Linked DNA regions of Oreochromis niloticus. The protein of the gene in region 1 interacts with the protein of each later gene in a pairwise test. Links are inferred from orthologs where the notes say so. Each region holds a gene or a part of one and is shown in the gene's direction. Other genes may lie near its edges.

The links.
Region 2: the proteins of abl interactor 2 (region 1) and dtnbb interact in binary tests that used the Homo sapiens proteins (3 or more experiments, as listed by UniProt). The link is inferred for Oreochromis niloticus from reciprocal best matches to the Homo sapiens genes ABI2 and DTNB.
Region 3: the proteins of abl interactor 2 (region 1) and kifc3 interact in binary tests that used the Homo sapiens proteins (3 or more experiments, as listed by UniProt). The link is inferred for Oreochromis niloticus from reciprocal best matches to the Homo sapiens genes ABI2 and KIFC3.

Annotation. Positions count from the first base shown.
Region 1 is NC_031987.2:29,359,191-29,366,299, forward strand, and holds the start of abl interactor 2, read left to right. Parts: upstream 1-2,536; 5' UTR 2,537-2,562; coding exon 2,563-2,679; intron 2,680-7,109. Other genes in the region: transmembrane protein 237A, read left to right, coding at 117-204, 878-999, 1,650-1,717. UniProt on the Homo sapiens protein: Regulator of actin cytoskeleton dynamics underlying cell motility and adhesion. Functions as a component of the WAVE complex, which activates actin nucleating machinery Arp2/3 to drive lamellipodia formation.
Region 2 is NC_031983.2:18,630,903-18,638,011, reverse strand, and holds the start of dtnbb (dystrobrevin, beta b), read left to right. Parts: upstream 1-2,759; 5' UTR 2,760-2,978; intron 2,979-5,206; 5' UTR 5,207-5,252; intron 5,253-7,109.
Region 3 is NC_031965.2:37,983,932-37,991,040, reverse strand, and holds the start of kifc3 (kinesin-like protein KIFC3), read left to right. Parts: upstream 1-2,664; 5' UTR 2,665-2,955; coding exon 2,956-3,207; intron 3,208-6,328; exon of another isoform or gene 6,329-6,462; intron 6,463-6,786; exon of another isoform or gene 6,787-6,810; intron 6,811-7,109. UniProt on the Homo sapiens protein: Minus-end microtubule-dependent motor protein. Involved in apically targeted transport. Required for zonula adherens maintenance.

The DNA of each region.
Region 1 (7,109 bases):
GGACTGGTCATTTTTTACTCTCTTAGTGGTTTTTTACAGGATCTCATAGAAAACTGAAAATGTTCTTTTTTAAATGCCTGTAAGTATCCAAACATCTTCTCTCTTTGTGTGCTCAGTGTATTTTATAGCCCTGATCCTGTCCCTCAGCCAGCAAATGGCCAGTGATCGCATCAACCTGTATCCCACTGCCAACGAGACTCTGTGGTGAGATTTTTGTTTTCATTTTTATAAGTCAGCATTTTTAGCGTGATCTTGGAAAAGTAAAGAGAAAAACAGATGAAAGCAATTCTTTCCACAACAAGTTCAAGGTTGACATGGCAACTGAATTTAAAAACTGATAGGAGCTTAAAGGGCTAAAAGGAAATATCTAATGCAGGATGGTTTAAAAGCAGGTGTTTTACATTATACAATACTTATTAATACTTATTAATATTTCTGTGGTTCTAGTAGAACACTAACCATGTATAAGAAGTTGATTTTTACCAAAAGTGTAACCCTTATTCAGGCAATTGTAGTCACATGTTGGTTTTTTCCCATGATGAAACTAATTTGAATATCTTTCTATATATTGAGTAATACTTACATTTCAATTGTTTGGCAAATTTAAAAACAAAACATTTGAAAACCAAAAGTATCCAGAAAACATTCACACATTTCCACATAAAAGGAACATCTTCCTTTTAACAACACTGAGACCTGAGGTACCATTGCCAAAGACTTTTAAGAGGCTAATGCATTTCTTTTATTAAACTTAACTTGGAGAATCTCAGAGTTCTGCTATTTTCTCCTTACCATGGTTGGAAAACCCTCCTGAGGACTCAATCTTGACATGGAATGGTAAATTAATAACTGCTGTTTAACCTCTCATGTCCTGCAGGCCTCCTGGTTCAGAGCAGCAGATCCTGCGGCCGTGGATTGTAGTGAACCTGGTGGTGGCGCTATCAGTGGGCCTGGCCTGGGCCGTCGTCTCCACACGACCAGACATCGACTACACAGAAGGCAAGTTTAGCTAAAACTAACCTGATATGACTTGGACATTCCATCACCCAGTGATGGAAAGTAACCAAATGTAGTTAAGTACAGTTCTCTGGTCTTTTGCATTACTTGTACAAAAATATGCTATTGCTCATAACAAATATGTATTCCTTTTAAGCTTCAAAAACTTTTTTTATAGAAAATGAAATGTAAAGATCACACAGAGGGATGTTACTTAACTTTGGGGACACCTTCTTGAGCAAACAGGAAACGTTAATGATACTTCACATCCTGTGGAAACAGTGAAATAAAATGAAAAAGTGGTAATAAAACTACAATAACAGAAATCGTAAAAGGCTTCTGTAGGATTTGCAAGGTTTTGGCCACACAGCACACGCACATGGAGTCTCCTGGACTCCAAATACACCAGGTAGTCTGAAGGATTAATGACACATCACTTTTTTTTAATTTAAATGTAGCTGTATATAGTATAAAAGTAATACTTTTGATGCATTGCTGTGTTCCTGGTGTCATTCTTTATGTCACCACTAGATAGAAGCAAAGTGAAACATGTTCAAACCCTAAAAGCAAATGGCAGACATTCACATGTCAGCAAGCCAGCGTGTGTGTGCTTTGTAGAAATGTAAGCTGATGGTCTGGATTTCCTTTTGCAGAGTTTTTGATGACAATGGAAGTGGAGGGATACCCGAGAGGAGATGAGAACCTGGACATTCCGGCCTGAAACCTCTCTCTCTTTCTTTGTCTCCAAGTCTGTTTATGTTTTTGTATAATGTAGCTTTGTGTTTGAGCTGATTTTGCAAATAAACTAATAAAGGCTATATGGTAATAGGTGGTTGATACTTCTGCAGAGGAATAAGTGCCAGAAGAGCATAAAATACTTTCTGGTGTTTGTACTCCACTTGTAAATGTTGTATGTATTATTTTCATTCCTCTATTTTTGCTTATGGTCGTTTGCACCTTTTAGCAGTTTTGTCTGTGAAGTCATTTTGTGTGTCTGTTGTGTTTTCATCACTTTGCAGTTTTTGTGTCTTTGTGTGTTTTCTGTTTGTGGTCATTTTACCCATTTTGCCTGTAACAATTTTTATACACAACAGCAATTTTTTATGCTGTGTGTTGTAATTGGGAAGTCGCTTTGCATGTACTTGGATGTGTCTCCTTTTGTGTATCCGTTTGATGTCATTTGTCATTTTGTGTGCCTTGTTTGTTTGTAGCAGTTTTCTAAGTAATTGTAATATTTCTGAGCTCTATTTGCCTCTTTTACCTTCATCATTTGCATCACCTCCTGCGTGTATTTCATAACAGTTTGTAGTCGTTTCCGAGATGTTTTTGCGTGACTTTGATTAACATTCCCTAAAAAAGAAGGTTAAACAGTCAAACGAAACAATATCGTGGCCCCACCTTACGACAGTGGGCTCTACACTTGTGCCTGGTAGTCCCTCAGAGCACTCCCACTCTCCCACTTTTCTTCATGCCATCACAGTATTGACATTTCCGCACAGCCCCTGAAGGCGCTAGGATCCATCCATTCAGCGCGCGCTGCAGCCGTGTAGTAAAAGCCATGTAAAGATGGCGGAGCTGCAGATGCTGCTGGAGGAGGAAATTCCTGCGGGACGAAGAGCGTTGTTGGACAGTTTTACCAACCTGGAAAGAGTCGCGGAGTACTGCGAAAGCAACTATGTCCAGGTACATGCTCATATTTAAACAGCAAGTGTATAAGTTGGGTGAAATGACATATCGAGGTAATGTCAGTTGGGAGTAGGCGGTTTGGATAGAGGAGTGATGGAATGACCGTGCCAGATTCCGTTATGTTACCCGTGGTTTTTATGTAAAGGGGAAAAGTCACAGCGAATTCAATACAAACACTGACCCGCTGATGCCTGAATACGAAGGGTGTCGGGGTCAATTCGGTTTTTTGAAAAATATCCTCAAACACATCTTTACTAGTGAAAAATCAACTTTTGTAAGTGGTTTGCGCAGCACCGTGTTGTTTTCTGATGGAGCGTGACTCTGTGGGAATGTGATGGGTGGATTTGGGTTAGTTTTAAAAGTTTGCTTTAACCGAAATAAGTTTGAATATGTTCACTGAATGGGTGCCGAATTAATTGTCGAGTTGCGTTTTTCTAGTAAAATGTCTCTTGCAAAGTTTGTGATGTTTATGTAAGCAGGCAATCGCTTGAGCAGAGATGCGTTAATGGGAGTCTGGCGCGACACTTAACTGGTATGTGATTGTGGCCGATAACTTGCACTGTAAATCGCTGCTGAGATTTATGATTTACTTTTACTGCTATTCTATAAACAGTTTGTTTTTATTTATTTATTTTCATCAAATGATAACCGGCAGAATTAGGGAAATTTGAAGATAATTGTTAGTTTCAGTCCTGATCTAAAGTCTTCAGTATCTAGTAAAAACATTGTTTCAAATTGCCATCAAGGTGGCAAATACGGCTGTTATGACAAATAAATGTATCAGATTAATCTTTAGTATAGATCCTTTATAGATTCCGTTTGTCCTTGAAGATGCAGCTAATGATTAATATCATCGCTGATAGCTGACAGCTTTTCTTTGATACAAATTGTGCTTTTCTTTTTTATGCTGTTACAGTGGTTGATGCTCATATTAACATGGCCAAAGTTTCAGACCATGAGGTCAAGTTATTCCTGTGAACCAAAACAAAGTGGTCTAAATGCTCAGTTTCAGACACTTTCTTCTCCTCTTGGCTCTGTATGACGTCAGTGACAGCGGAGATCCCTAATATGGTCATGTCAGGCTCACAACTCTGGCTAATTTATGCAAATATGACATGGAGGAAAAGGGGTTTGCACTCATTGCTCTTTCCATCATTGGTGGAACCGGATGACGTATGCGTCAAGTGGGCATATGGAAGGGAAGGGGACAAGAGTGGATCTTCTCTGTGGCTGGCAAATGGACCAACAACACCACGACCTGTTCTATCACATACTTTGTACACTGTTTCTATCTGACACTGTTTCTGCTCTGCACGCTGAACCAAACTTTTTGTTTCTGGCTGTAAGCACATAAGGCCCACCACCTGCTTTTCAAACCATAGATGGTCTAAAAGATGGACGTAGCCACCATTACGCCAGCTGTTGGTTTGTGAAGTCCTGTTTTTGAATCTTCAAGCTGATGGGTTTTTTCCCCCAAACGTAATGTTTGTCATGTCATTAAAACCGGACGTGACAAGCAAAGGTTGGATCTAAAACTGCACATACGGCAATTTTCAACTGCGACTTACTTGAAGCTGTTGTATTATAGCACAGTCATTTGTCACGGGCATAATACAGCCCCTTGAATTTAGTGTTAAATTAACACTCAGCTTATCCACTGATGGCTTCTTGAGAATGTGAGTTAGACACCAGTATCTGTACTGGGCTGCCATCCCTCCACCCCCGTGCTTGCTTATCGGAGAGTGTGTGAGTGTACGTGGGCAGACAAGGCTGTTACGGACAACTGTTCTTCCTCAGCTGGCTCTGTAGACACACCTGTTCATCGCCACATTTCATTTAGATTCGTGTGTTTGTGTGAGTCTTACTGTCAGTCAACAAGTGAAAGTGCATCAACAGTCTTTCTTCTTTAAAGGCCAGAAGCACACAGGCGCTACATGATGCGTCACAGCAGACCGACACAGTGAAATCTTGTTCTGCACATCTACACATGATGAATTCCACAAGGGCGCTTTCTTTTTCCCCTCTTTTATTCCTTCTCCTCTCTATTTCTTCTTTCCTTTATAACCTTTGACCTTTTTATTTCTCTGAAATTCTCAGTCTGTTTTCACACAGTACTAGCTTGGCATTAGCTTTCTCATTTTTAGCAGTCACATCAGCAGTAACATGTCATCTTCTCAGGAAAACTGAAAGTCTTTTTTAGCTCGTTAGACTGCTCACACTGCATGTTCAGATTGAGCCTAGCATGGCTAACTCAGTACCCAGAGGATGGCCTACATTTATGCAGCCAGCAGATGATGTGATTGTTACATAATAGCGCAGTGTGCTGATCCTGTTTTATGGGCTAAATATTTGGATTCAGAGTTGACCCGGGTCAAGTTGTTGTTGGTCTTATGTGGCCACATCCTGGCATCATTGTGGTCCAAATTCAGATTTAAAACAGTCTAGTGCTTTTTAAGGGGTGGGGGTGGGGGGGGTGGGGGGGGTTACAGAGTGTCTTTATTCTTTTACTTTTGCATTCCCAGAAAGTTGATTTCCTTACCTGCATCAAGGTGCTCTGAGTGTTTATTTGTTTTCTGTGAACAGAGATTTTCAATAACATAATGTTGCAACTGTACAAGATACAGTCATGAAGCTTTGCACGTCTGTGGTTGACATCAAAATGAATGCTGGCTTTGAACATGGGTGTGGTCAGTTTTGAGCATTAAATAAAGGCTTCCTGGAAGTGGGGAGGACAAGGGCTCCTTCCCATTTTATTTTGTGCAATCCCAACAAGCAGACAAACACCTGTGAGCAAACACTTGGCAACAGTGAAAAGGGAAAACTGTCTTTTAACAGGAAGAAACCTCCAGCAGAACCAGGCTCAGGGTGGGGCAGCCATCTGCTGCGATTGGTTGGAGGTGAAGGGAGGGAGACGAGACAAAAGACACACTGTGGAGGCGAGCCAGAGATTAATAATAATTAATGACTAAATGCAGAGAGGTGTATAAAAACGGAGAGCGTGAAAAGAGGTGAATGAAGACAAAACACTCAGTGCATTATGGGAAGCCCCCACAGCAGCCTAGGCCTATTTAAAAGTTACTAAGAGAGGATTCAGGGTCACCTCATCCAGCTCTAACTTTATGCTTAATCAGAAAGGAAAGCTGAAGGCTCTGTCTCCCATTCTACTTTTAAATATCCTAGGCACCACAACTGAGCCAGTAGTCTGATGGCAAAATGCTCTGACGGGGTACTATGAGGTCTTTAACATAAAATGGGGCCTGATTATTCAAGACCTTGTAATCTGTTATGTGGTATAAAAACAGATTTCCATTACAAATGTAGTCTGAGAATATCTCTTATGTGAACCAGTTGCAAACTGGTCATTAGTTGTGTTTATTAACAAAACTATGTTTGGAAGAGGCAAAGTAGGAGGAGTATGGGACTATCGAGTCTGCCTGTATGCGCCGAGTTTCTAACAGCTGTCTGCAGATATCAGGCTGATGTCAGGAGACACAAACAGCAGGAGCTGAGCTTGTGTGCTGACTTTCCTGTTCTGCCTCTGCTCAAAGTGATAATTAAAGTGGATTTTAATGCTCTGCTCTGTTGAAGCCTCTTGTTCTGACTGCCCACAGCTGTGTGGGACTACTAGAATGTGTAAAATGATGACAGCTTTGCAGGTGGTGCAGATCTTAATGCTCTGCTGCCATGCATGTGGCATCCTTAAATAATACAGCATTTCAATTACACATTTTCGCTGGAGTTTTAAGTTATTGGCAACTTTTAATAATCGGGGAAAAGTAATCTTTGCTGTTCTTGTGATCAATAATAATGATCATTATTGATCATTAACGTGGTCAGTTTTTAATCAGGGAAATGGTCTCTCCTACTTTAGATGTTCATGCTTCAAACAGCCATCCAGACTCCTAGCTTTGTCAGGGAAAAAAAAACAGAGATGACTGTTCCTGCCTCTTCCAAAGATGCTGGAGACCCGGTTTTCAATATAACACCACCCACACATCCTCCTCCTTAGTGCTGTAGGTTTGTAAACTGAGATAAATTGAAGCTGCACTCTAGAAAGTTAGAGCCTTAAATAGCTGCTTTCTTTTTTACAATAAGTCTGTTGGAATATTTACTGTAACACAAAGGAAAAGATATTAGAGAAAATGATGAAAAATGGTGAGGAAAAAAGCAGCAAAGCAGGTCTTTACTACTTTTCTTTTTTTCAGATAAATTGCAAAATGTGTAGTTGTTTAGCACCTTCAGCACAGAATCTGAACGAGCCTGAACTGAGCATGTGCAGACACGTTTCTCCCCCTTGCCCCGACTACAGTCCTGTCCTGTTTTGTTCCTTCAGGGTTCTCCACAGCTGGTACCGGTTAGCTGTCAGCAGAGGTAGTTGTAATGTAACTCGACCTCCTGCTGCTCATTGAAAACACATGGTAGCGCTG
Region 2 (7,109 bases), on another chromosome or scaffold:
CACACTCAGATTTAAGAACTAGAAATGAACATGTATAGTTTTAGTAAGAAGATATAGTGTGATTTTTGAATGATACTTTATATAAATCAACCTGACTTGTTTCCAAGGCAAAGCACTTGAAAACCACCTGGATATAAAGTAATAACGGTGTACAGCACTTAAAATCAAACCTAAAGAAAAGAGAATCATATATAATTCCTCTATAATCCTTGTTGGTAAATTAAGATCTTTTCACTTCCAGTGAAGGTCTGAAGTCACTTCCTACTGCATGAATCAGCATTTCCTCCCCAAAAATCAGGTTTGTGGATATGATCTCCCTTGGTGTGGGATTTCTAATGCTTGTGTGTCTGTATAGATAAATCAGCCGTGGCAAACTTAATTTAAACACTCAAGGCGGGGGGGAGAAAATGCTGACAATTTTGTTATTTTGCTGTATATACTTGCTCATGTATGGTATTTGCCTAGATGTAGAAATATTGTTATTTTATTCGTGCTGCACACCTTGCTTGAGCATAACTGGCTCTTTATTTCAAAATGTTTTTCTTTTTTTTCTTTTTTTACTGTGGAATGAAAATAGAGAAGAACAGTGAAATATGCTAAAAACAGGTACAATATGTCACCAATACATCAATAAGTGAGTGTAACACTTCACTTTAACGCGGCCTTTTTCCAGGAAATTAAGAGAGTGATCCTCTATAATACTGTGGTTGGAAGTATTGTAAAAATGATATTTGTCACATATGTATTTAATCAACAGTAATTTGTCTTTGTGATGCACAACACATTTGTGGTGTCAGCACTTGTTATAACCTTTGCAGGCCCGTTATGATGATTTTAACATTAGTGCTTAGTGCGTACTGACTTGTAAAAAGGCCACTGTGTTTGAAGTGTTATCTCCAAACGTTTTGTGTTTTTGCTGGTTACAAATATTGACACATCTACTATATTTTAGAATCTCCTGGAGGTACAAAACATGACCTCTTTTATAGCAATTATTTCCAAGGTAGTATGCCAAAGTCACCTTAAAGAAAACAAAAAATAATCAGAAGTTGTTTTTAAATGTCTGACTAGTTAATCAAAGTAATATATTTTAATTAATATATTTTAATATAAAAGATCTATTTGCTAATTGTTTTTGACAAATCAACAGGGTATTTACTATATTAATATATTGGCTGTCTTTTTTTTTTTTTTAGGCTGGACAGTCCACCGTGCAGAATAATCACTTTTCAAATAGTCCAGGTATCTGATATTCTGTATGGTCCAGGTTTTTTAGTGAATCCATTGGTCTATATTTTTCGATGAAGATGTTGTCTAAAGTGTAGCTTTTACTTGTCTATTTGCATCATCACTTTATGAAAAGATAATGTTTTAATGCACCATTTAAAAAGTCATTCAATTAATATAGTTTTATTTTTATTTGGTGGTTGTGTCTTGTGGAAAGTTGTTTTTGAGGGCTAGAATCTAGCAGGATTTTCACAAGGCATAGAAATTTCACTTATTAATGACATAGTGATGTTTGAGTTAGTGATACAGATGTGTTTTTTTATTCTCATTTTTGACCCCCATTAATTATTTACGTCATATTTGGTTGAATGTGATGTTAGAGTCCTGCTGGACTGGATTGCACTGCAAAAAAATATTAAGAACAATCATTCTCAACCCTAAAGGCAGCTGAAATTTTTGTTAATGATGACTGAAACATGAGTCCAACAGCAGTCCCAATCAATACTAAGGCTAACTGTGTGTGTGCATTTGGAAGAGTAGAGCACATCATATAGAAAATGGCTTGAAGAAGTGGGGGGTGGGAAAGGAGGGGGGGGGGATTGCCACTTTTTTTCCCCTTCTTCTTTTAATGTCATGTTTGACACTAGGTGAATTTCTTTAATGTCAGTGTCATTTTGTCTCCATTTAAAACTCCAGGTGAATGTAATATAGTAATCAGAACTTGTAAACAAAGTGTATTTTATCAAAGTAATAGAATATTATGAATAAATAATAATGGAAAAAGTTTCTTTTTTTTGACTGCTTCTTCATTTTATTGTATTTTTTTTCTTTGGTACTATTTATAATTATATATATATTTTTTAAAAAGCACAATAATATTACGACCCCTCTGTGGGCCAGTCTGACAAAAAATTCTGTTGCTCCAAAGTTTGACATAAAAACCCTGATTACTGTAACTGAGTTATCCCTGACTGTCTTAGAAAAATGTAAAAAAGAAATGTGGTGGGGTGTCTCCTAAAGATCTCTGCCCTTAGGAGGGATACATGGTTTTATACGAGGTCACAGTTGGGGAGGGGGCGAGGGTATTATTTTCATTAAATAGCTTCAAAAAATAAACTATATTTAATTTAATATTTAAAAACATTTGGGGTCCGTATATTATCCAGAAGAGTCCAGTTGTTGAATAAAGAACAGTAACGCTGTCGTATGACGCTGTTGAGCTGCATTATGGGAAATGTAGAGCCCAGGAGTTATGGAGCTTGGTGCTCCAGACAACTAGAAAGTCATGATACTTTTCCGGTCTTTTAGAAACATCACATCTCTTTCTTTCCCCTCTTGATGAAAGTCCCAAACTGCTGCAGTATCCCTTTAAATGAGCCTAAATGAATACTGTGCTTTTTCCTGTTCAGTGTATAATATTGGGGATTATAATTCAGAGTAACAGCGGTATTAATAATAGTAGTGCGCCTTTAACCAGCGTGCGTGCGCACATGCGTAAAGTGTACTAGTAGGTGGTCGCGCATGGCATCTCCGTGCCTGCTTGTATCTACTGTCCTCTGCCGCTGGGTCGCTGACGATGCCGAGTGGAGCGGGGCGCCTCTACGTTTCTGTGTGCGGCTACAACCGCAGTTGCGAAGACTGAAGTCGGATGAGACGGGAGAGGGGCTTGAAAAACGACGATGGATGGTCCGAGCTGTTTCTCATCGCCCGGACAGCTTTAACATCGGGGGAAACGCGTGGATTTATTAAAGGTGAGAAGTGGGGCTGTCCAGCACGGAGGAAATATCCCCCTTATTCGCCCATAGCCACTTACATCCTCCCTATCTGATGCTGCTGCTGCTGCCACCGATGATGATGATGCTCTAAACACAACCTGCGCGATTTTCCTCCGGTAAAGGCCAATTCCCCGCCATGTATCTTACTTGGCTGTGGAGACACCAGTAGGATTTGAAGAAATGCAGAATTGTCATTGTTTGTTAACCAAAAAAATACAAATTAAAAAAAATAAAAAATAAATGTATGGACATCACGACACACATTCCCCACTGCGGAAATAAGGTAAATAGGCGGTTAAATCAGCAACATGGCTGCGTTGATGCTCTGCCGTCGCTTCAGAAGTGATTTTTAAGTGTTGCGGTGCTGCTCGGCGTTAGAATTAAGGCTCGTAGAAAGGGAGAAGTGAATGATATCAGCGGCGGAGAGATACTGCAGTAACCGAGTCCTTATGTTGACTCGCGTCAAAGGATGTTGTCATTACCTTGGAGCTGAAGGTGCGGTTACAGTAAAATGCACCTTTCCAGGCCTGTGATGATTACTACACAGTCTGACTTCACTGCAAGCATCTGACATCCAAATTATTACGAGCCTGTGATTGTTTATGGGGAAATGAATACATGGCACTAGCTAGAAATCCCATTGATCGGGACCGGTGAAACAGTGATCGCACCGACTGTGATCTGAATGTGCTGAATTTATTTTGGCATGAATTATTAAAAACTTCCATCAAATAATCAACTTAACCGTTAAACTGTCATCTGCTTACAGGCTCCGATTACACGTCTGTGAACACGAACTGCCAGTGTGCAACCCTTGTTGCATACTCATGAATTTCAGCAGTTACCTCATAGGGGGAATATTTACAATGAACCATTGTGATATTTTGCTGACATGTCTCTGCTGGGTCTTCCACTGCATAACAAATGTTTTTTTAACCATTTCGCCAAAGGGCAGTCGTGCCTCTTTGACATATCTGCTCTAAAAATGCCCCCAAAGCTTTTTTTTCTCTCTATTTAGAATCACAATTATGATATATAATTGGTCTAACTTTATCCAAACTACCGTGCTGTGCCAGCTCCAAAGACATGTGATGGTGTTTATAAGCACTGAAGCTGGTTTTTGACTATTGCACAGAGTGGTTTATTGCTGCTTGTGAAACGAGTGGTTGTTGTCAAAGAGCTGAAGATGAGTCATTCAGTTGCTCAAAAAATTTAATTATTTGGAAAAAATCTGACATTTCGTTTGGTTTTTCAAGCAAACATCAGATTCCCACAACTGGATTTTCTGCTTTACTCAACCCGCTGTTTAGGAAGTGGGAGGTTTTGCTTGTTAGAAAGCCAGGCTGTAGTTAAAGATATCACCCAAAGCTGTCGTATGGCAAAAATATTGATTGAACATTTGAGAAAAATATCAGCAGATTGTTTGATGTTGAGAATAGTCTTTAGATGTGGCTCTTATTATATTAATATCTATTATTTAAAACTTAATTTCAATGAAACGTCCCCTTTAAAAATCTTTGCTGGCTCTTGTAAGCAGCACGGAGAAATGTTCAAGACAAGGGAGAGGTGCAAGTTTGTGACTGGAAATAGGCTCTGTCATAACACTAGAGATCAGTCTGTGTAAAACAAGGTTGGATAGAAGTGAAAGCAAAATAAAAAGGGGTGGGGTGGGGGGGGCTTCTTGTCTACACACTTCGAACCTTGGCTTCTATGGTTTGCTGATCAGCTGAACGCCCTCAATTCACCATGAGAATAAGTAATCTAAACATGTTTGGGATACTCTTGAGTCCTTGGTCCCAGGGACACCCAGTGCTGATCGCTTATTGGCTATCCCTAATGTGCTCTGTGTCCGTCATCATTAAGTGGTTCCTTTGCAGCTCAGTTGGTGTCATTAGCCCACAGGATGCAGTCACTGCTGAGCGGGATGTCATAGAGAATTATCATTTGCACAGACCACAGGCACTGGAGTGCTCCCTAGCTGGCTCACCAGTATCTCTACAGGAGGCGATGGGAGGGTTTAACAAAAGCACAAAGTGAGAGTTAATAAGTCCTTGAAGGAGGTAGACAAGGGAGGCGTTAATTACTTATTTAAAAGTCTACTACATTTTGTCAGCGTGGAATAGCTCATCTCTCGTAGTAATGGTGGCGTCGAGTCAATATCAAGACACCCTCGCTGACCTTTTTCAATTTGTTTTTCTTTACAGGGTCAACGTTTAGGGCTTCACTTTGTTGACATACAGTGTGCGGCAGGTAAGTACTTTTAAAATCAGTGAGAATCAGTGTGTATATAATATGTCACATGTAAAGCATTTCATATAAGCGCTTGGTAAGCAGGAAAGGATACGGTGTCCATGTGCAAATTGTCTTCACGGTAAATTATTTTTGTCAGATAAGAAAACAAGTCCAAAACAATTGGTGGTAACGGTAAATTAAAATGTGTTTGAGAGAAGTGACACTGTAAAGAAGTGACTGGAATCACAACATTAAAAGCCATGGAGACGCTTTTGAAAAATAGTACAGAGAAAGAAGTGAATGAAGTAATGAAGCCTGTGTTGTTTCAAAGGGGGCTTTTCTTTCCCTGCTGAGCTGAGGAAAAACACACACCAGCAGTGAATCCTGTTTGAAAATGCACAACAGAGTCAACAGTGAAGTTGAATCAGGCAACAACAGTTAAAGATGTTCAATAGGCAGCTCTTCTTTGGTATCAGATAATTATTTGGGGGCATTGAGAAATATTTTTAATCTTATTTACGTGCTCATGAGTTTAGAGCTAAATAGATTTTGTCGTCATATTTTAAAAGATTTGTAGAGAGTGCAATTTCCTTGGCTTCTTGAGATTCTCTTTCGAAGAACTGCAATAGACAGCATACTTTTCTTTAATGCAAAATTTTATTTTCACTAGTAAAGAATTGATAAGATTTAATAATTTTGCCAAACTGCAGTAAGTTACACTTACTCTTTCATTGCTCATACCGAGCCTGATACTGATAGCTTTAGCTTTAGCCATTTTGCCTTTGCTGCCTTTTTAAAATATCCATGTTCAGCTTGGTGAGGGGGATTTAAGTGTCTTATTAAAATTGTTGTTCCATTTTGTGGTGATTTATTTTGGCAAGGTTTGTGTCTTCACCCATTAAGATGCTAGCATATGACTGTTTGCCTATGCCATTGTGGTCTGGCCCATAATAAGCCATATATGTACATGAGGCTGACTGGCCGGTCACCTGTCTGGGCAAAGAACACTGGAAATCAGCTGATTCTGGTCTCTTGTTGGTCAGTTGGCGCATCTCTAGTTATTTCCACTTCCCCCAAGAGTTAGATCACATAAGTGATCTATACCATTCTTACATTGGTAAGCTAGTATAGCCATAAACTGGTAAAACTGGCTATGCAGAAATACTGGAATACTATATATAAATATCCCATATGCAACCCACCCTAAACTACAACATATTCTGGTAATTAGTGAGTTTTAGAAGCTGGAGAGCAAACCATTTCCACATTTTCAAATCTTTATACTAAGCTAAGCTATTTGGCACCTGATTGTAGCTTCATATTAAACCTACAAATGTGAAAGGATTTTTTTTTAATTTTTCCTTAAATACCCAATGAAAGAAGTAACATTATTCTGACAGTGTTAAACTCTTCCTTTTAATAAAAGTCACCGTTCTGACACGGCTATTCTTTTACCAAGCACACTCTCAGTATAATGTATATGTAATTTCTTTTCAGTTTTCTGTCCCTTCTCAGTAATAGCAATAAACAAGTGAAATTTCAAAGCAAAATCATCTATATAGTTGACCAAGGTTATATTGATGACTAACGCTGTCCTTGGTGCAGAGGGGAAATTGCAAACTTTCTGCTGGTACAGCCCTATTCAAGGGTTCATCTGAGTGTTTCAATAATTCATTATAGCCACATAATGGATCACTTACTGTGTGTCCTCTACTGGTAAAAGTAATTTAGACTTGAACACCAGATCTTTTTCTATTCCGTTTTATCCACAAAAATCATCTATCTGTCCTGTATATATCTGCATTTTCTTTAGTTGTATGCAAGACGTGTAGTTCATTCGAATCCTTCTTAGTCCTATCTCTATGACTTTTGACA
Region 3 (7,109 bases), on another chromosome or scaffold:
GAAGTGGTTTCAGGCTGGGATCTCGTTCTGTAGTTTTCTCTTGTTTCTGCAACGCATCATTTTCTTCCTCGGGCTCTGACTGAAGTTTAGAGAAAACGGCTAAAGGAAAATCCGCTCATCTCTAACACACAGTCCCAGTCTGAGCACAATTTAATCACAATAAAAAAACATAAAAGAAGATACCAATAACAGCAGTCAGCCTGGTTTAAAGCTAGAGAATAAAAACTGGCTTTCAAGCAGGTGTTACAGTTGTCTGCTGACGGAGTGGCAATTTATTCTGATTTACTGCGGAGCTCAGTGATTGGTGGAAGGAGGCGCCAAACAGCTCAGGTCAGGAAGCCAGCATGGATGACTGTCGTCGTGCCACTTTGAAGCAGCCGTAGTCGATCAAAGTCTATGAAAGGCTGTCTCTCTTCCACAGCATGTCTTTATCCTGTCTTCTCTCACCTCAACCAATCACAGCAGATGGCCCCGCCCCTCCCTGAGCCTGGTTCTGCTGGAGGTTTCTTCCTGTTCAAAGGGAGTTTTTCCTTCCCACTGTCACCAAAGTGCTTGCTCATAGGGGGTCATATGATTGTTGGGCTTTTCTCTGTATGTATTATTGTAGGGTCTACCTTACAATACAAAGCACCTTGAGGCGGCTGTTGTTGTGATTTGGCGCTGTGTAAATAAAACTGAATTGAATTAAAACAGAGCAGATATTAGATTCTGCATTAGAGCCCTTGTGGGTAAAATAATAAATCAGTTCAGTGTTTTTTGTTTTTGTTTTTTAAAGTCTGAGATTTAAAAACTACAAATGTACAAGGAAGAAAATCCACTGATTTTCTAACTAACACTCGCTAGAAAATTGTTTTGGAGCTGCTGTGAGTTTAAAATAAAACTACTGATCGGGAAAAAAAACTGAATTTACAAGAAAACAGTCGTGAAAGTAACGAAGCCGATAAAAATGTCTTAAATCTGAGTGGGATTGATCTAAATTTACAAATAAATGTGAGGACGGAATTTAAGAGTGCATGTTTTCCCATGCTCCCTCGTTAACAGTCGACCCCCTTCTGTCCTCATTCTTTATTGTTTACCATCAGCTGTAGAATAAACCGCTGCGTGTTTGAGGAGCACGTTTGGACCTTTAGAAATTAAAACTAAAGTCTTCCTTGGCTCATTGAACTTCTGCAGGAACTGTTAAAAATCTCTGAGATCTCTGGAAACTCTTCGATGACCCCTGGACCTTCCTCGTGAGATTTTTCTAACGTGTGACCCTGAGTTTGGACCGCAGCCCCGCCCTCACCTCGTTAGCGTCCTGAAAGGGGTCGGTGGACCGGAAACGTCCCCCTTTTGTTCTTGCAGGAACGTTTCCAGAAACTGTCCCGGCTCTGTTTACAGTGAGCTGCAGGACGGATCGCTGCTATATGCAGCAAGGTCTGCAACCAATCAGAGGCGAGCGTCAGGATTGAGTGGCTGTGATTCAGACCGTCAGCTCCCACTGGGTCAAAGTCCCAGCATGCCCGGCTCTGTCACATATGTCACCTATTTAGGAGAGGTGGTCGACATCCCCACGACATGAAAGAAAGAGGTCACTCTGACCTAAAACCCTTCACTTTACCAAAATAAAAGCCTTTGGGAAAGTAGATGAGGCACAATGAGCAGGTCACTGTTTCCACAATAAAAGCCTTTAATGATTTTCCAATCTGCACATTCAAAATGAGACTGTAATGTCAATCAGATTGTCCCTGTCACCAAAATAAACGCTTGTTCTGATCTAAAATTATACTTAAATTTTGAAAAGACTGAAGTCTAAACTTTTCTGGACTATTCTACCAACTAGAACATCACTGCTGTCAAAATAAAAGTCTTCTCTCATCTAAAATTATAGTTGGGACAGCACTTTCCAAAATAAAAGGCTTTTCTTCACTCTAAAAATCAGCCTTTACAGATTTTTATGACCAGTGTGCTGCAGTCATGTTTACTGTACTCTGTATTTCTACGGTCTCTTTATTGAATAAAAGTGCTCCAGTAAAGTGAAAGTTACAGAGATGTGATCAGTTTAAGCAGTGACTACAAACGGATCAGTGATCAAAGAACTGGAAGTAATCCTGACTGTTATTAAACGTGAAAACCGGCACGTAGCTCATCCTGAAGATATTAACATAAATCCATCGTTTAGTGTCGTGCTGTTACGTCACCGGCGATCCTCTGCAGTTTTATCCTGCAGCAATAACAACAGATGGTCCCGGGACAGAGGGAGGGAGGAGAGGAGGCCCCTCGAGCTCTTTCTCTGATCCACTCAGTCTGATGGAGGGGAAGACCCGACCTGCCACAGAGGAAACAGTTTCCTGCACCTGCTGCTCATCCACAAACTCTGTGAGGAGAAGTTCTCTGACTCCACGCAGGAGCTGGATTCGTGCTTTTCCTGCAGGTCTGCAGAACAAACTTTGGTTTTTTTTTTTCTTGCAGTGGACCTCAAGGTCAGAATATCACTCCAGGGAAAACTCTGCTGAAACTTTGCATCTTGCTCTGCGTCCGTGTTGCACTTCGAATCACTTTTCTCTTATGTGGGGATTTTTGTTTTTGCTGCACGCCTCTGCAGCCTCGCTTCAGAGCAGGAGGCGTTTGCACAGTCTTGAGTTTCAGTGAGAAACTGAAACTGGCGGCTGCAGGCTCTGGTTACCCGTCTTGATAACCGTTGGCGTGACAGCAGTGAGGAGGACGGGACAAGGTTCAGAAGCTTTTATCATCTGATGTGATGTTGACGGGGCGGGGTTCGGGACAGAGGTGAACAAACACAGCAGGATTTAAACAGCTGATCCTTTTTAGAGGAAACATTTAGAGCGAGGATCGTCAACCTCAGCGGGACCCAAACGAGACACCTGTGAGCTCCCACCTGGGCTGGAACAACCCTGTGATGAAACCAAGCACCCACCCGAAGCACCCTAGAGTCTGAGGGTGGGGCGAGGGGTCATGTATGTCCTGTGCACCCTGGCGGTTCTGACGCTCCACAACCTGATTAAGAACCGGAACAAACCGGAGCAAAACCGGTCCACTGAGGCCGCGGGACGGGAAGGTCGTCTGAAGGATGGGAGCGCAGGCGACGGGTGCTGGGGGGTGTCCGGGACCCGGGATCGAGTGGATGGATCAATGATCCGCAGAGCTGAGGGGAAGAGGAGGCGAGGGGCCATACACAACCTCCCTAACAGCAGGAAGCAAGTCCAGGTGAGGAAGAGGTCGGGTTCAGACGGCGTGCGGTTTTAATTCCTGAAAATATTAAAACATAAAAACTTTAAAAACAAGTTTGGGAAACCGGGGACGCACTTCTAATTTTAGAAGGAAATACGAACTTTTAGTTACATTTTAGGTGAGTGTGAGTTTGCACTTATTAAGGATTTACACCCTGATTTCACCCTGATAATCACCTCCGAGTGTAAAGTTGAACCCTTCATTTATCAAACAGGTGACGTACAGCCTGAGAGACTTCACAAAAATGAGCATTAAGACCTTTGCAAAACTGTCACATGATGAGTTTTTGAACTAAAGTACTTTATTTTATCTAGTTATAGACTGATTTGTTTGCATGTAGAAATATTTTTACTTTATTTCCGTTGGCCTCACTTCAGCTGGACCATCAGGTGAACTGGACCATTTGTAGCCTGAAGCTTTTACACCTTTAATTTGGTCAAATTAGTTATCTAATAGAATATAATACTGCGTTTAAACAAGTAAATCTTTTTAAAATTATGATTTTGTTTCCATGAAAATGTGATCAGTCTATAATCTGAATGAGGGGGAAAAAAATGAACCAACAGTAGAAACAGAATTTGAATTTCTACTGTGTGCAGGAAGATGGCGCATAAACATGATTGTCATTATTTTTAATCAAAGAAGTAAATGTTGTTAAAACTGTAACCATAATGGTCCCAAATCACAGCGGCAGTTATGAGAGCTCGGAGTGTTTTTGTTCTCAACGTTTCAGTATTTATGAAATCTACTTTGGTGATTTTTATCGAGCTGCTTTGAATCCTGCTGCTGTCCAGAAGTTTCCACAGAGCAAAGTCGGTTTGCTGATTCATTTATTTATTTATTTATTTAGAAGCCTGACAGAACGACTCCATGAGTGACTGATTTTATTAGTGAACAAGCTGCTCTTATTTTTGAAAAGTCAGCCACTTCTAACCAGTTAGCCCAGTTAGAGGTTAAACATTTGAAACCCACTGAGGAGAACGTGAAGCACAGGATGCTTGAGGCTCTAACCCTGCAGGCACCAAAATTGAACGAGTCCTTTCTTTGAAGCGTCGGGTCTCGCTCATCTTTGCATTTCCTGATTAATCCTGCAAACAGTAAAACAGACATGGGTCAAACCCGTCCATGGAGGGATTATACAACTCTCACACTAACGCTCCTAAAGTATGAGTTACACTCCCGGCCGACTGCTCGGTGAAGACTTCAGTTTTCGTTAATGAGCGACTCGTTGCACGCGGACACAAACTGAAGGCCCTGACACGTATTCACAGACGGGACTCGCGTGATTTCTGTGGGGTAACGCTTAAAGAGCAGGACTTTCACTTACAGTGGGGTAATTTTATTTTCCGTGTCCTCGGGGGAGGACAAGGCAACCCTTTGTTGTTCAATAATCATAAAGCTGTGATTCAGCAGTTTTTATCTGAACTTGCTGACGGACTGAGGAATGTTTACAGCTGCACAGTAAATGTTATCATATCTGAGTGCAGCAGTAAAATGTCACTAAATGTTGTAAATATTAAACTTTACGGGGAGTTCTGTTGTTAGGCAAAGGTAAATCTGCTCTCTGATTGGCTTAAAAATCACCTGTCTGAGACGAGAGGTCAGCTCAGCAGGGTTTACGCGGTCAGTGACTCAGACTTGGTGGAGCTCTGATATCAACACAGGTATTATTTGATTGTGGAAATAGCCATAAAATGATAGCAGGGCTAACTTTTACTGCTGAGTGTATTTTGTGATGGACTGTTGTGACGCATGTTTGGGTCTTATTGTCAGATTTGTGGTGTTGTGCGGTTTGCTGCTATTAAAACTATAAGTGCGCTTGTTTTACACTCAGGTAAGCTGGTGTGAAATACTTCACAGGTGATGAACCTGTATGTGCTCCTGTATGAGTTAACAATTATGTGTCGGCTGTCAGAAACAGCCCCACCTGCTGGTCATGCAAACTGATTGCACTTGTGTAGATGGACGTGAATGATGAGCTCGGGACGTGTGTACCAGTCTGACAGCTGGACAGATGTGGAGTCTGAGCCAGAGGACGGACTGTGAGGATGATCTCAGATTTCACTGTCCCACCCTCCGGAGGCGCTAGAGAGCATGGAGCAAATATGTCATTTGAACTGCTTGTGAACATGCATTTACCTCTGTGCGTTTATTTTAGTCCCCCTGGTTTACTTCAGGTAATAATCAACCCCAGGAGACATATTTGTGTAGTCTGTATGTGCGGGGACAGGCGGGCACGAGTGTTGTTCAGATATGGTCACTTTTTAAATGTTTTTCCCATAACTCTAACACTCTGACGGGTCCCGGCGGCTCCTGTTGATGCAGGTTTTGATGTTCAGAGGCTTCATGTTTGCTGGTTCCAGTTAAATCTGATGTTTGTCACAGGACATTCAATCACATGATATAAATGTCTGAAATCCTCTGGCTCCTTATAGGGAGACGGCGTTCAGGGTCGAGCGCGTCGGTCACATCAGTTATGTAACCAAACATTCATCATCATCCTTTGATGGTATAATCTGTGAGCTCATCCTGCAGGACAGGACAAGCTTCATTTCCCCAGAAGTTTGTATAACATATTCTGCAAAAATTAAAATAAAAGTTCCCCAAAGATTATACTTTATGCCAGTTGGTTACAATTAAGGTGCAGAAAGGCACAAACAGGGTGTGTAATGTGTTAGTGGAATAAAAAATAACTAAAGATTTTACAGTTTAAGATGAGAATGACTTAAAAAAAAAAAAAAAACAACCCTCATTTGACATCAGTTAGACAAACTTCATCTAATACATTTAATAAAAGAAACTTAAAAGCATGATTTATTTTCTTTAGCTGAAACCATCACCTTCCCCTCACGTAAAGCTAACCGTGTGCATTGTGGAGTCCTCGCATCTTAACTGTAAACTTCACGTCCCCACAATCTGAGTAATACGAGTACACACAGTGCTGAATATTTGAGGTGGGGGAGGAGCAGCCGCTCTCGCTTCAGTGGAGGCTGAAATATTCATCCGCTGCTGGGATGGAGTGAGGAGGAGGAGGGGCTACAGGAGGTGTGATGCTGCTGTGCTGTTGCTAAGGAAACGGAGGGAGGAAGCAGTGAGTGTGTGTGTGTGTGTGTGTGTTTAGGGGGGTTGGTGGGTGTCTTTGACTCTGATCCTGCTGCTGTGTGTCGGCGTGAAGCTGCAGCAGTCTGGGCGATGCGGCGATGATGATGTGGACGGAGAGGCCGCAGGGAGGTAAGAGCCGGGCGGATGGTGCAGAGGGGGAGGTGGGGAGGGATGGAGGCGCTGCAGGGGAGGCGGACATGTTGAGCAGACATGGAGGTCTGGCTGTAACCTGATGCAGAGCAGACGCTTATGTTTCATGACCTGAATACGAGCCGTCGGTGGCACAAAGCTTCATCCTCATTCATCTGGTTCCTCTCCTCCTCCTCCTCATCCTCTCTTTCATGCCGTTTTATCTCACCGTAAACCTCTTCCTGTCCATGGAGAGTATACCGAGGGACCCGTGGATTGTCCTAATTGAAGCGCACGTCTGCTTTCACGCATTGTCCTTGCAGCAGGTGTAGGCGGAGCCACTGCAAGGTATTTTTAGCCTCTTCATAATGACTTCAGCAGTTTGTAAAAATAAGTGGGTCAAAAACGTGAAGCGTCTGTGGGACGGAGCAGGTCTGAGCGAGTGTCCTGATGATGGTGTCACTGATTTATCTGCCTGTTGTTTGAATGAAGCTTTATTTAATCATATTTAGACACCTGTGAGCTGAAACAACAGCTTGTCGGAGGGTAAGGTTGTGGAGGGAGTCTGCCTCTGAGTGTAGCTGCGCTTACAGAGAACAACCATCCAGATGTTTCCTGCTGTTCCTCAGCCTGCTGCGCCTGGAACA